3 linked regions of the Ovis aries genome follow. The protein of the gene in region 3 purifies or fractionates together with the protein of the main gene of each other region. This does not show direct contact. Links are inferred from orthologs where the notes say so. Each region holds a gene or a part of one and is shown on either strand. Other genes may lie near its edges.

What was found.
Region 1: the proteins of interferon-activable protein 203 (region 3) and LYAR purify together in Homo sapiens (affinity purification with mass spectrometry; 3 studies listed by BioGRID and IntAct, with this or other methods). This does not show direct contact. The link is inferred for Ovis aries from reciprocal best matches to the Homo sapiens genes IFI16 and LYAR.
Region 2: the proteins of interferon-activable protein 203 (region 3) and NOC3L purify together in Homo sapiens (affinity purification with mass spectrometry; 3 studies listed by BioGRID and IntAct, with this or other methods). This does not show direct contact. The link is inferred for Ovis aries from reciprocal best matches to the Homo sapiens genes IFI16 and NOC3L.

What each region holds. Positions count from the first base shown.
Region 1 is NC_056059.1:105,493,062-105,497,203, forward strand, and holds the start of LYAR (cell growth-regulating nucleolar protein), read left to right. Parts: upstream 1-1,226; 5' UTR 1,227-1,375; intron 1,376-4,142. UniProt on the Homo sapiens protein: Plays a role in the maintenance of the appropriate processing of 47S/45S pre-rRNA to 32S/30S pre-rRNAs and their subsequent processing to produce 18S and 28S rRNAs. Also acts at the level of transcription regulation.
Region 2 is NC_056075.1:15,450,862-15,454,945, reverse strand, and holds the start of NOC3L (nucleolar complex protein 3 homolog), read left to right. Parts: upstream 1-1,168; 5' UTR 1,169-1,284; coding exon 1,285-1,293; intron 1,294-2,528; coding exon 2,529-2,736; intron 2,737-4,084. UniProt on the Homo sapiens protein: May be required for adipogenesis.
Region 3 is NC_056054.1:109,945,147-109,948,794, forward strand, and holds the end of interferon-activable protein 203, read right to left. Parts: intron 2,954-3,648; coding exon 2,714-2,953; 3' UTR 214-2,713; downstream 1-213.

The sequences.
Region 1 (4,142 bases), on a different chromosome or scaffold from region 3:
CTTCTCCAGTGGATCTTCCCGACCCAAGAATCCAACAGGGGTCTCCTGCACTGCAGGTGGATTCTTTACCAACTGAGCTATAGAAGCTTAAGTCAGGGCTCCCACATTTCTGGCAAACTCCTTAGCATTGCGGGCAGACTCTTTACCATCTGAGCCACCAGGGAAGCCCCAACGTGAAACTGAAAGTTGCCCAGTCGCGTCTGACTCTTCGCGACCCCAAGGACTGTAGAGTCCATGGAATTTCCCAGGCCAGAATACTGGAGTGGACAGCCTTTCCCTTCTCCAGGGGATCTTCCCAACCCAGGGATCGAACCCAGGTCTACCCAAGTGAAGGTTGCAGGCGGCTTCTTCACCAGCTGAGTCACCAGGGAAGCCCGAGAATACTGGAGTGCGGTAGCCTATCCCTTTCTCCAGCGGATCTTCTCGATCCCAGGAAATTGAACCCGGGTCTCCTGCATTGCAGGCGGATTCTCGACCAACTGAGCTACCAGGGAAGCCCCTTAAGGGTTGAGAGGAGCAGATAAGCACTCTACTGAGTGCTTTGCAGGAAATCCTACAATAACCTTATCGAGTTAAGCACGGCAGTGTAACACACGTTTACAGACGCGGATCCGAGGCACGGAGAGGTCGCACGGCCACGGGACTGGGCTGGGCTTTAGGAGCTCTGGGGTCTTCAGCGCTAACTCTCTCAACTTTACACGGCGATGGAGGGAGCCGGGGCGAGGAGACAGGACCCGCGGCTCCCGCGGGCGGTGCCCCGCGCGGCCGGGAGGGGAAAGCGGGTGCGGCGTCCAGGCCGAAGGTGCTGCACACGCCGTGAAGGACGCGTTCCGGAGCCCGGCCTGGTCGTCGCGTCTCCTAGCAGAAGCACCTCACGGCCACGGCAGCAGCTCCACGGCCCCTCACGGCGCGGGGCGGCGGCCGGTCCCTGCCCTGACCTGCCCGGCCCGGCCCTTCGGGCGCCCGGCCCGGGGTTCCGTGCCGTTTCCATCGCCCTTAGCCCCGCACACTCTCGCGAGGCCGGCCTACCAGTCAGCAATCCCCACCTTACCCTCAGAGACCGCTTCCCGCCCCGTCGCCTCTTCTTCACCTGCAGCCGCCACCGCCGCCTTCAGCGCTCCTGGCCGGGCTCAGCCGGCAGCGGAAGCATCGCGACAACACCGCCCCTCCCACAGCATTGGGCCGGCGGCACCCGCCCTCTGACTTCCGGTTGCCTCACTTCCGCCAGGAGGTGTGGTCGCGGGGCGCCTCTGAAGCGAATTCTGCGCGCGGAAGCCCTGGAGGGAGGTGCAGGTTATTAAGCCTTGCGGGAAGCCGCGATTCCACGTGCTCCTCTCCGGGCGGGTTGAAACCGTTGGCGGGCGCTGGCTGAGAGGTGAGGGGCGGTGGCTCAGAGGTCCGACCTGGGAGGCTGGAGCTCAGGCTCTGGGGCGGGGGGTGGAATGGGGTAGGGTGGGCGCACTGTGTCCGTTGCCTGCGTTTCCACCTTTAGAGAGTCTTTCCTTTGGCTTAAACGCATGGAAGAAAGAAGTGCATTCAAGTTTCATTCGTGCTCTGGGGGAAATAGAAGAAGTCCTGGAGTTAGAATGACCAGTTCCTCCGGATTTTAAAATGGAAAAGTCGGTGCCGGGAACCCCGCAGAGGGGGTTCCAGCCGGGATGGTTGGTTGGTTCCCCCACCGGACTGCGTTGTGCAGGCTTGCTGCATGTTGGGATCGAGGCGCTTGCCTTCTTTGAGTCTTGGGGAGCTCGATCCCCAAGGAGGAGGCCCTTAGGGCATAATGGTTGAGAGCGCGGGGCTTTAGGGCCGGGAGTAGCTGCGTTGTGAATCCAGGTTTGCCACCAACTGCACGTGTAGCTTGCTGACAGTTACTGAACCCCTTTGTGCCTGGTCTGTCAAAAGAGGATAATAATAGAACCTACCGAACTCAGAGGATTCTTGTGAGTATTACAGGAGCCAGGGCTTGGCACATAGTAGATGATCCGTCAATGTCCGGATTTGCTGCAGCCCCTGCCTTTGTGGAGAGGTTAGAGGCACGAGGTGGGGTTTGATGCTTGCAAGCCTACCGTTCTTGCAGAGTGCCTACCTGGGACTTATACACACAGCACCCCGAGTCCCCCCAGTGCCTAACGTAGTGCCTGACGTGTCGGCTTCCACAGGTAGTTATTACACCAGTGAATAGATGCTGTTTAAACCACTGCTGTTGATGTAGTATGTGAGGAGGGTGTGAGACTGGAACTTGGGGTTTGAGAGACACCTCTCAGCTTCTGTGAGCCTTGTCTCATCTGTCAAGTGGAGATGGATGTGCCTTCCTTGAGAGTCTTTGCAGAGCAAGGAAGAGATCCTGCCTGACTATATACCCTACAGTCAGGAGCTTCGGTGTCACGGTGTACAGTGTAAAGTGTGTCCCTTTCATGATGCCCCTGGTTTCTTGGAGTTTTCCTCTTGGGAGGAGGTCTGGGCTAGCCTAGTTGACCTGATGGATTGTTTCACAGCCTGGAGAACTTAAGTCCCTAGGGGACAATGACTTGCTTCAGGTCTCAGGGCTCACTGGAGGCTGTTGACAGCTTGGCCCTTAAAGTGGGCAGTTTTGGTGGTGATGGTGTCAGTGGGATTTAGGTCTGTGTGTGTATGTTTGTGAAGGAATTGTTTTTTAAGAATAGCAAGACAATAGAAAAATGTGTAAAGAGGAAGGTTAAAAAATTGCCAACATCCGATGGATCATGGAAAAAGCAAGAGAGTTCCAGAAAAACTTCTATTTCTGCTTTATTGACTATGCCAAAGCCTTTGACTCTGTGGATCACAATAAACTGTGAAAAATTCTGAAAGAGATGGGAATACCAGACCACCTGACCTGCTTCTTGAGAAATCTGTATGCACGTCAGGAAGCAACAGAACTGGACACGGAACAACAGACTGGTTCCAAATAGGAAAAGGAGTACGTCAAGACTGTATACTGTCACCCTGCTTATTTAACTTCTATGCAGAGTACATCATGAGAAACGCGGGACTGGAAGAAACAGAAGCTGGAATCAAGATTGCCGGGAGAAATATCAATAACCTCAGATATGCAGATGATACCACCCTTATGGCAGAAAGTGAAGAGGAACTCAAAAGCCTCTTGATGAAAGTGAAAGTGGAGAGTGAAAAAGTTGGCTTAAAGCTCAACATTCAGAAAACGAAGATCATGGCATCTGGTCCCATCACTTCATGGGAAATAGATGGGAAACAGTGGAAACAGTGTCAGACTTTATTTTTTTGGGCTCCAAGATCACTGCAGATGGTGACTGCAGCCATGAAATTAAAAGACGCTTACTCCTTGGAAGAAAAGTTATGACCAACCTAGATAGGATATTCAAAAGCAGAGACATTACTTTGCTGACTAAGGTCCTTCTAGTCAAGGCTATGGTTTTTCCAGTGGTCATGTATGGATGTGAGAGTTGGACTGTGAAGAAGGCTGAGCACCGAAGAATGGATGCTTTTGAACTGTGGTGTTGGAGAAGACTCTTGAGAGTCCCTTGGACTGCAAGGAGATAAGCCCTGGGATTTCTTTGGAAGGAATGATGCTAGAGCTGAAACTCCAGTACTTTGGCCACCTCATGCAAAGAGTTGACTCATTGGAAAAGACTCTGATGCTGGGAGGGATTGGGGGCAGGAAGAGAAGGGGACAACAGAGGATGAAATGGCTGGATGGCATCACTGACTCGATGGATGTGAGTCTGAGTGAACTCCGGGAGATGGTGATGGACAGGGAGGCCTGGCTTGCTGCGATTCATGGGGTCGCAAAGAGTCGGACACAACTGAGCAACTGAACTGAACTGAATAAATAAATAAATAAATCACTCCAAATACAAGCTTCCCTGGTGACTCAGATGGGAAAGAATTTGCCTGTAATGCAGAAGACCTGGGTTGGATCCCTTGGTCAGGAAGATCCCCTGGAGAAGGGAATGACAACCCACTCCAGTATTCTGGCCTGGAGAATTCCACAGACAGAGGAGCTTGGCGGGCTACTGCCTATGGGATCGCAGAGTCAGACACAACTGAGCGATTTACACGTTCACTTCACAATCCCAGAACCAATTTGAGTTCATGTTATCAGGGAACAGGGTGGTAGTTTAGGCACCCAGGGGATGGGGAGTCAG
Region 2 (4,084 bases), on a different chromosome or scaffold from region 3:
ATCCTTGGAGAGACTGGACAAGAAAGAGGCTGAAAGGATGGGAGTGACCACAGATAAATTATTATGTTTGAGGAATTCAGACTCTTGGGAAGAGGACAGGCTAATGTTTTCAATTTGTTTGATGAAGTAATACTCCAGTGGGACAGGTTCTGCCGTCTCTGAGAATGTGTGTAAAGGAGAGCAGTGGGGAAATTGAGGAAGTTGGAAGAGAGGGAAAGAAGAGTTCTGGATAGAATGGGATTCTTGGTCTCTAAAGTGGGATCCAGAAACTGAAAGGTTTCTTCTCAGTCTCTAAAAGACCAGCACCTACAAGGGAGCTCAGATTCTTTGGAGGTTCTATTGGCCTTTCCTCTCTAGCTCAGGACTGCTAGGCCAGACTGTCAGGATGTTCTCAGAATTGTAGACTTTAAAAACAAAAACAAGGAAAAAAAACTAAAGCAGAATTCTTCAATTTATTCATGAAAAAAAAAAATCTTTAAAGACAATCATTTTGAAAAACGTAGTTATTCTTGCAATGCATAAATCTTCCTGTTAAAACTAATGACTTTGGAGGGATTACTAAGGAGACAGTAGAATTTACAGAAAAGCTATAGTTATAAAAAACTGAAATGCAGATGAATCTCACTGATATAACTGTTTATCAAGCAGTGGTTAAATTAAGGCAAAAAGGGTTTCAAAATAAAACATTAAGAATCATAGACTTTTGAGTGTTGGAACTCATGAGAAATCATTAGCCATTCCACAAACTCGCCCAGAGAAGCTGTCAAGGGGCAGGTATTTCACAAATGAAATAAGCTCTTCTCTGTCCCACAAAAATCAGTATTTATAAAAAAAAAAAAGAGTACACGAGCTATATCTTATAACAAGCTAAACATGAGGAGGGGCACAAAATACAGGATGGTTGAAAAAGTCAGATCCTCTCGTTCTGAGAAGAAAAGCCCGATTTCCTGAAGAACTGCAAGGAAATTGGGCAGGAGTCAAAGATTCAGAGACCCTGGAGAGAGACCGCTGATTACCCACCTTTGGTGATTCATAGTGCCGTGCGCTGCCATGCGCATACAAGCCGGGGCGCCGTCGGCCTAGGGCCGCGAGAGGGCGCACGACAGCCCCCGTCTACGGAAATCCCGCCCCTATATCCGGCGGCGGAGGATGGGGAGGGACTCGCGGCAGTTTCCGGCTGGTTCAGTGTTGCTGATTTCGCACGTGTGTTTGCGGGTTCGGGATTCCTGGATTACCGCTGTCACTGGTGAATTTGTCTAGCCGGGGTACCCTGCACACTTAAGGATGAAGGCCGTAAGTGTCCTCAGAAGCCTGGTCCCCGCGGCTTAGAACCCTTTTGGGTCACAGAGTCGCTGCCGTTGTATGGGGTGCGGCGGCAGTGGCCTAGATCAGGGGCTCCCTGGGCTCTCTACTTGGAGAAGGCGATGGCGCCCCACTCCAGTCCTCGTGCCTGGAGAATCCCAAGGACGGGGGAGCCTGGTGGGCTGCAGTCCATGGGGTCGCTGAGAGTCGGGCACGACTGAGCGACCTCACTTTCCGTTTTCACTTTCATGCATTGGAGAAGGAAATGGCAACCCACTCCAGTGTTCTTGCCTGGAGAATCCCAGGGACGGGGGAGCCTGGTGGGCTGCAGTCCAAGGGGTCGCACAGAGTCGGACACGACTGAAGCGACTCAGCAGCAGCAGCAGCAGCAGCAGCAGCAGCAGGGCTCCCTCCTGGCTCTCCGCGCTGTCAGCTTCCTCTCCCTTAGACCTGGCTCCTTCTTTTTCACCCACTGAGCACGCTTGGCTTCAGCGGGCCGCAATGGCATTAGCACGAAGTCTTGAGTTCATAAGGTGTCAGACTTGAAGAGTTCTTCAAGACCATCTTTTGAACCCGTTATTTTACAGACGAGAAACGGTCCTGCTTTCAATAAGTTTATGAGTCTTGGGACCTAAGTCTTTTTGTTTGTTTGTTTGTTTTCTTCCTAAAGGTGAGGATATAGAAAAGCAAATTGTAATCCACATGCGAGTTCAGTTTTGTTTTCCTTACTTTTAAGGGTCTTTGTCTTGATCTCTTTAAGCTGTAGCTTCATCAGTAATATAACAGCAGTCACTACATCTAGGCTGTTGGCGGTGATATGTTAGAGCACTTTGTAAACAGTTAAGCAATATGTAAATGTCACTTGTTATTGCTAAAGACAGCCAACATTTTAATCTTAGTATGCCAAACTACAAGTGTTAAACTAGCCTTGAATAACCATTTACCAGTAATTCAGTGGTTTTTCACATGTTTTTGAGTCTTAGACCCTTTTGAACCGCTGTGATTTCTGCTCACTGTGAGAACCTCCCGTTGAACAACTGATCTGGCGCTGTTCTGTAGGATTAATGCCATAGTATGGTTTTAACTCTTATCCGCAAGACCCGTGACTGTGAGACATTAAAATTGTGGAATTGGCCTAATGAAATAATCAATTCTTTTTAACCTGATTTTAAAAATAAAGTCATTTATTTTTCTGGGTATTCAGTGCCCCTTCTGTTGTTTTCTAGAGAAGAAATAAAAAACAGGTTCCAAGCTTTCGGAAGTTGTTGAAAACTAGTAAAGTCAAACTTGAAAACAAGCTAAAAAACAAACAGTTTAAACAACAAAGCACTCTCAAGAAGTACCGTAAAGAGCAGAGGAAACTAAGGCAAGCTGTAAAAGATGCTGTGTCTAAGAAACCCGTTCTGTTGGAGGACCCAAAGGAGAAACGACCAGGTAACTGAAAACATTCCTGTGTTCCAGTTTCTATTGATTTGTTCTAAAATATTCTTCATGCAATAACTTTGCCTTTTAGTCGTCACTCCTAGGGAAGGATCGTAGTCCTGTATGTTTCAGTCACTATGAGAAAACATTTTAATGCAGTATTCATGGTGAAAGAGACCCAGCTTCTGCTTTTAGTTTGTTTAGAAAGCAGATCTGAAGATTTTCAGTGCATATTTGGGAAACAGACTAAGAAAAAAACCGTAAATAACTTTTGGGCATTCCAATGCTACCACTTTCCCGTGTCACTGGCAGTTAGCTAAGGAAACAGTATTGCTTTTCTCTAATGCATTCTTCACAGTGTTGCCAAGTATCACTTAGTTTTCTAAACTTCTGGCTTTCTTTTCACTTGGAATGAAATTGAGCTGTAATTGTCAAGGTTATTCTTTTGTCACCCTGTTCAAAAACTCCCAAGTACTCAAAACAGTTAAGGAATATGATCATTCTGAGTCAGACCCATTTGGCTACAGCAGAACTTGTACTTTCAGGGTATTAATATTTGACTATATCTGACTTTTCTTTCTTCCTGTGCACATCTCATTCTCTTACCCTGACCTGTTTAATTTGATCCATTGGCAGCCATGCTATTGTGATGTATAAAAGGGCATGGGACTAGAAGTCAGGATACCTGAGCTTTTCTCATGATTTTGTTTCTTACTAGTGGTGTGGCCTTCATCTGTCACTTAATCTCCAGGTACTTCACTTGTTTAAAAAAAAAAAAAAAAAAAAACAGGCCTTGCTTGAGTTAGATACGTTTAAAGATCTATCTAAATTTCAGAAGAATTTAAAAAGCATGATATGTTAGGTATTATATTTTAAAAATAAAAGCAAAAAATGTCTTTCTTCTTACACATTGAACATCTAAATTAAGTCTCTTAGGGAGTTGGGTATAGGTATAATGTTCAAGTGAAAGACCTGGGTTAGAGAGAACAGTTTTGCAAATTATTACTATATAGATGCTAATCAAAGCCTTTGACATGAGTAAAATCACCATGGAGACTGTGTAACATGAAAATAAGAGAACCCAGAAAATAATTTTAAGGAACGCCAGCATTTAAGATGTGAGTAGAAAAACCTGTAATGTGGTTTGAGGTGGAGCCAGAGAATTAGGAAGAAGACTTAAATTGTATATATCTTAGAAACTGAAAGAAACATGTTTCAAGAAAGAAGGAAACTTTTTATGTTCTAACATGAAATAGTATATAAAATGAATTTTAATTTGAAAAAGCAAGATGAAAAGTCATGTATATTGGAGCTTCCACCCTCTTGAAATGATAGGTTATCACCACTTGTAAGATGGGCT
Region 3 (3,648 bases):
AACATTTATTAAAGAATTCCCCGTCTTATACAAGCGTGCAGTTCATGGCACTCCAAAATGATTTCAATAGTAACATCAAAGATCACTAACCCCAGATCAAAATGACAAATACAAGAATTCAAGAAAAAGCTTGAAATATTAGGAGAATTGCCAAATATGACACAGACACTCAACGTGAAAAATGTTTTGGGAAAACGACTCCAGGAGACTTACTCTACACAGGATTGCTACAAATCCTTTATTTGTACAACAAACCAAAGAAAAAGCAAATATCTATGATGCACAAGACAGTGAAGTATAATAAAGCAAAGTATGCCATTAGTAGCCTTTGTTAGTATTCAAAGAATCCATTCCACATGAATGTGTGAGTTTGACAAAAATCATGGAATTTGTCCCATAGGACCAATCACCTCTGTTGTTGACCAACATGTGTATCTCACCAAAGGCAGGTAACTTTGTGTTCTGAAAGGCTCAGAGGCATCCTTGATCATTTATTAATAGATCTGAAATGGGCAAGTAACTACCCTCTGAGATAAAAGATATTTCCTCCATTTTATAGATGTTGAATCAGAAGTTTTTAGTATTTAAGTTATTAGTCAACTAGCAAATCATAGAACCAGTATTCAAAATAAATTTGCCTTAAAAAGTCAAAATTTAATAATTAATCCACCTGATCTTAAAATTCAAACAACTTTATAATATTCAGCTTAGATATAGATTTTGATAGACTTTCTGAAGTTTCTCTCTTTAATATGATTAAAAATACCCTTAAATGAAAACTAATAGATGTTAATGAAAGAAACTGAAGATGACACAAACAGATAGAAAGATATACCATGTTCCTGGATTAGAAGAATCAATATTGTTCAAATGACTATACTACCTAAGGCAATGTACAGATTTAATGCACTCCCTATCAAATTACCAGTAGCATTTTTTACAGAACTCCAAAAAGTTTGTAATTTGCATAAAACTACAACAGACCACAAATAGCCAAAATGATCTTGAGAAATAAAAATGGAGCTGGACAAATCATGTTCCCTGACTACAGACAATATTACAAAGCTATAGTCATCAGAATAGTATGGTACTGCCACACACACACAAAAAAAGACATATAGATCAATGGCACAGGCTAGAGAGCCCAGAAAGAAGCCTACGCATTTATGGCCAATTAGTTGATGACAAACGAGGCAAAAATATACAATGGAGAAAAGACAGTCTCTTCAGTAAGTGGTGATGGGAAAACTTGATAGGTATGTCTAAAAGAATCAAACCAGGACATTCTCTAACACCATTAAAAATTAAACTCAGGATGGATTAAGGACTTAAATGTAAGTCTGGATACACTAAAACTCCTATCAGAAATATAGGCAGAACAATCTTTGAAGTAAGTTGAAGCAATATTTTTTGGATCAGCCCCCTAGAGTAATGGAAATAAAAACAAAAATAACCAAATTGGACCTAATCAAACGTAAAAGATTTTGCATAGCAAAGGAAACCATAAATAAAACAAAAAGACAACCCACAGACTGGGAGAAAGTGTTTGCAATGGATGCTAAAAACAGGGATTAATTTACAAAATATACAAAGAGCTCATACAGCTTAATATCAAAACTCAAACCCAATCAAGACATGGGCAGAGGACTAAATAAGCATTTCTCTAAAGCAGACATATAGATGGAATACAGACTCATGAAAAGATGCTCAATATTGCTTATCATTGGAAAAATGAAAATCAAAAATACAATGACTGTCACCTCACACCAGTCAGAATGGCAATCACTAAAAAGTCTTAAAGTAACAAATGCTGAAGATGATGTGGAGAAAGTGAAACCCTCTTACACTGTTGGTGTGAACATAAATTGGTGCATCCACTCTGGAGAACAGTATGGAGGTTCCTTAAAAAACTAAAAATAGAGTTACCATATTATCCTACAATCACTCTCCTGGGCAAATATCTGGAGAAAACTAATTTGAGGAGATACATGCAGCCCAATGTTCATAGCAGCACTATTTACAGTACCAAGACATGTACGTAACCTATACGCCCATTGACAGATGAATGAATATAGAAGATCGGGGGTAACAATGGAATGCTACTTAGCCATAAAAAGAATAAAATAATGCCATTTTCAGTAACATGGATGAACCTAGTGATTTTCATACTGAATGAAGTAAGTCAGACAAAGGACGAATATCATATGATATTACTTACATGTGGATTCTAAAAAAGAAAAAAAAAAAAGAAAGAAAGAAAGAAAGAAAGATATAAATGAACTTACCAAACAGGAAAAGACTGACAGACACAGAAACAAATTTATGGTTACCAAAGGGGATAGTGTTGGGGGGAGGGGAAATAAATTAAGAGTTTAGGATTAACATATACACATTACAATATATAAAATAGGTAAGTAACAAGGACCTACTGTATAGCTCAGAGAATTATACTTGATTTCTTATAATAACCTACAATGGGAAAGATTCTGAAATGAATATATATACACGTGTATGTGTGAATACAATATATAAATATGTGTGTGTGTGTGTGTGTGTAAGTGAATCCCTTTGCTGTACACTTTAACCTACATTTTAAAATATCCTTAAAAAAAAAAAAAAAGAATGATGAAAAGGGACTTCACACACACTAAATGACAAGGATTAGTTATTTCACCTGATGGACTCTCTGTGTAATAGCAGCAGTATAGTTTTCTTAAAGACTTCTACTTTGGAACAATGATGACCCACCAGAAGCTCTCACCTTGATGTAACTATGAATTACAGATCTCAGCTGCCTCTTAGCCCCGCGTTCTGCCAATTCAAAGCACACGAGTGTAAGTCTGTCACCCTCTTCACAGTTGATACTGGTTAGTCGCTGTCCATAAACCACGACTTCCATCACTCCTGTATCATCTCGTATTTCATAATATATTAATTCACTACATGCCCATTTCTGCAAAAGAAAATCAGCATTCATCTTTTGAGGACTGGATCAGGAATTACCACAACTTTGAAAAATGGAGTGTTAGTGGAAACTCTTCTCTCAGAACAGTGAATATGAGCTAGAGGTCCAAGTATTACAGGTATCAAATAGTGTAAGATATCTTGTTCAGTTTATCCTCCCATTTAAATTCTCTTTTCTTCCTTTAGGTGTTTGTGTGCTGGGTCATTCTAGAAAAAGGGATTACTTCCCTAATTTTTCCTGCTTCCATCTAAGAATAGCTGAGATTTCTTGAGGAACTTAGATGTGGTGTGGTCTGATAAGCATCAGAGGCTTTTTTGGATTTCCCTAGCTTCCCTGGTGGCTCAGATGGTAAAGCATCTGCCTGCAATGTGGGAGACCCGGGTTCGATTCCTGGGTCAGGAAGATCCCCTGGAGAAGGAAATAGCAGTGCACTCCAGCACTCTTGCCTGGAGAATCCCATGGATGGAGGAGCCTGATAGGCTACAGTTCATGGGGGTCGCAATAAGTCGGACATGACTGAGTGACTTCACCATGAAGAACAGAGAAGAAAGGCTATTCCTGTCTTATGATGAATCTAAAAGAGATTGCTACAAATCCTCCTTAAGTTGATTGTTACTTCAATATGTAATTCTTTCCTCTATCTTCTGTATCTATTCATTCTTCCCTAATCTGCCCAAATCTTG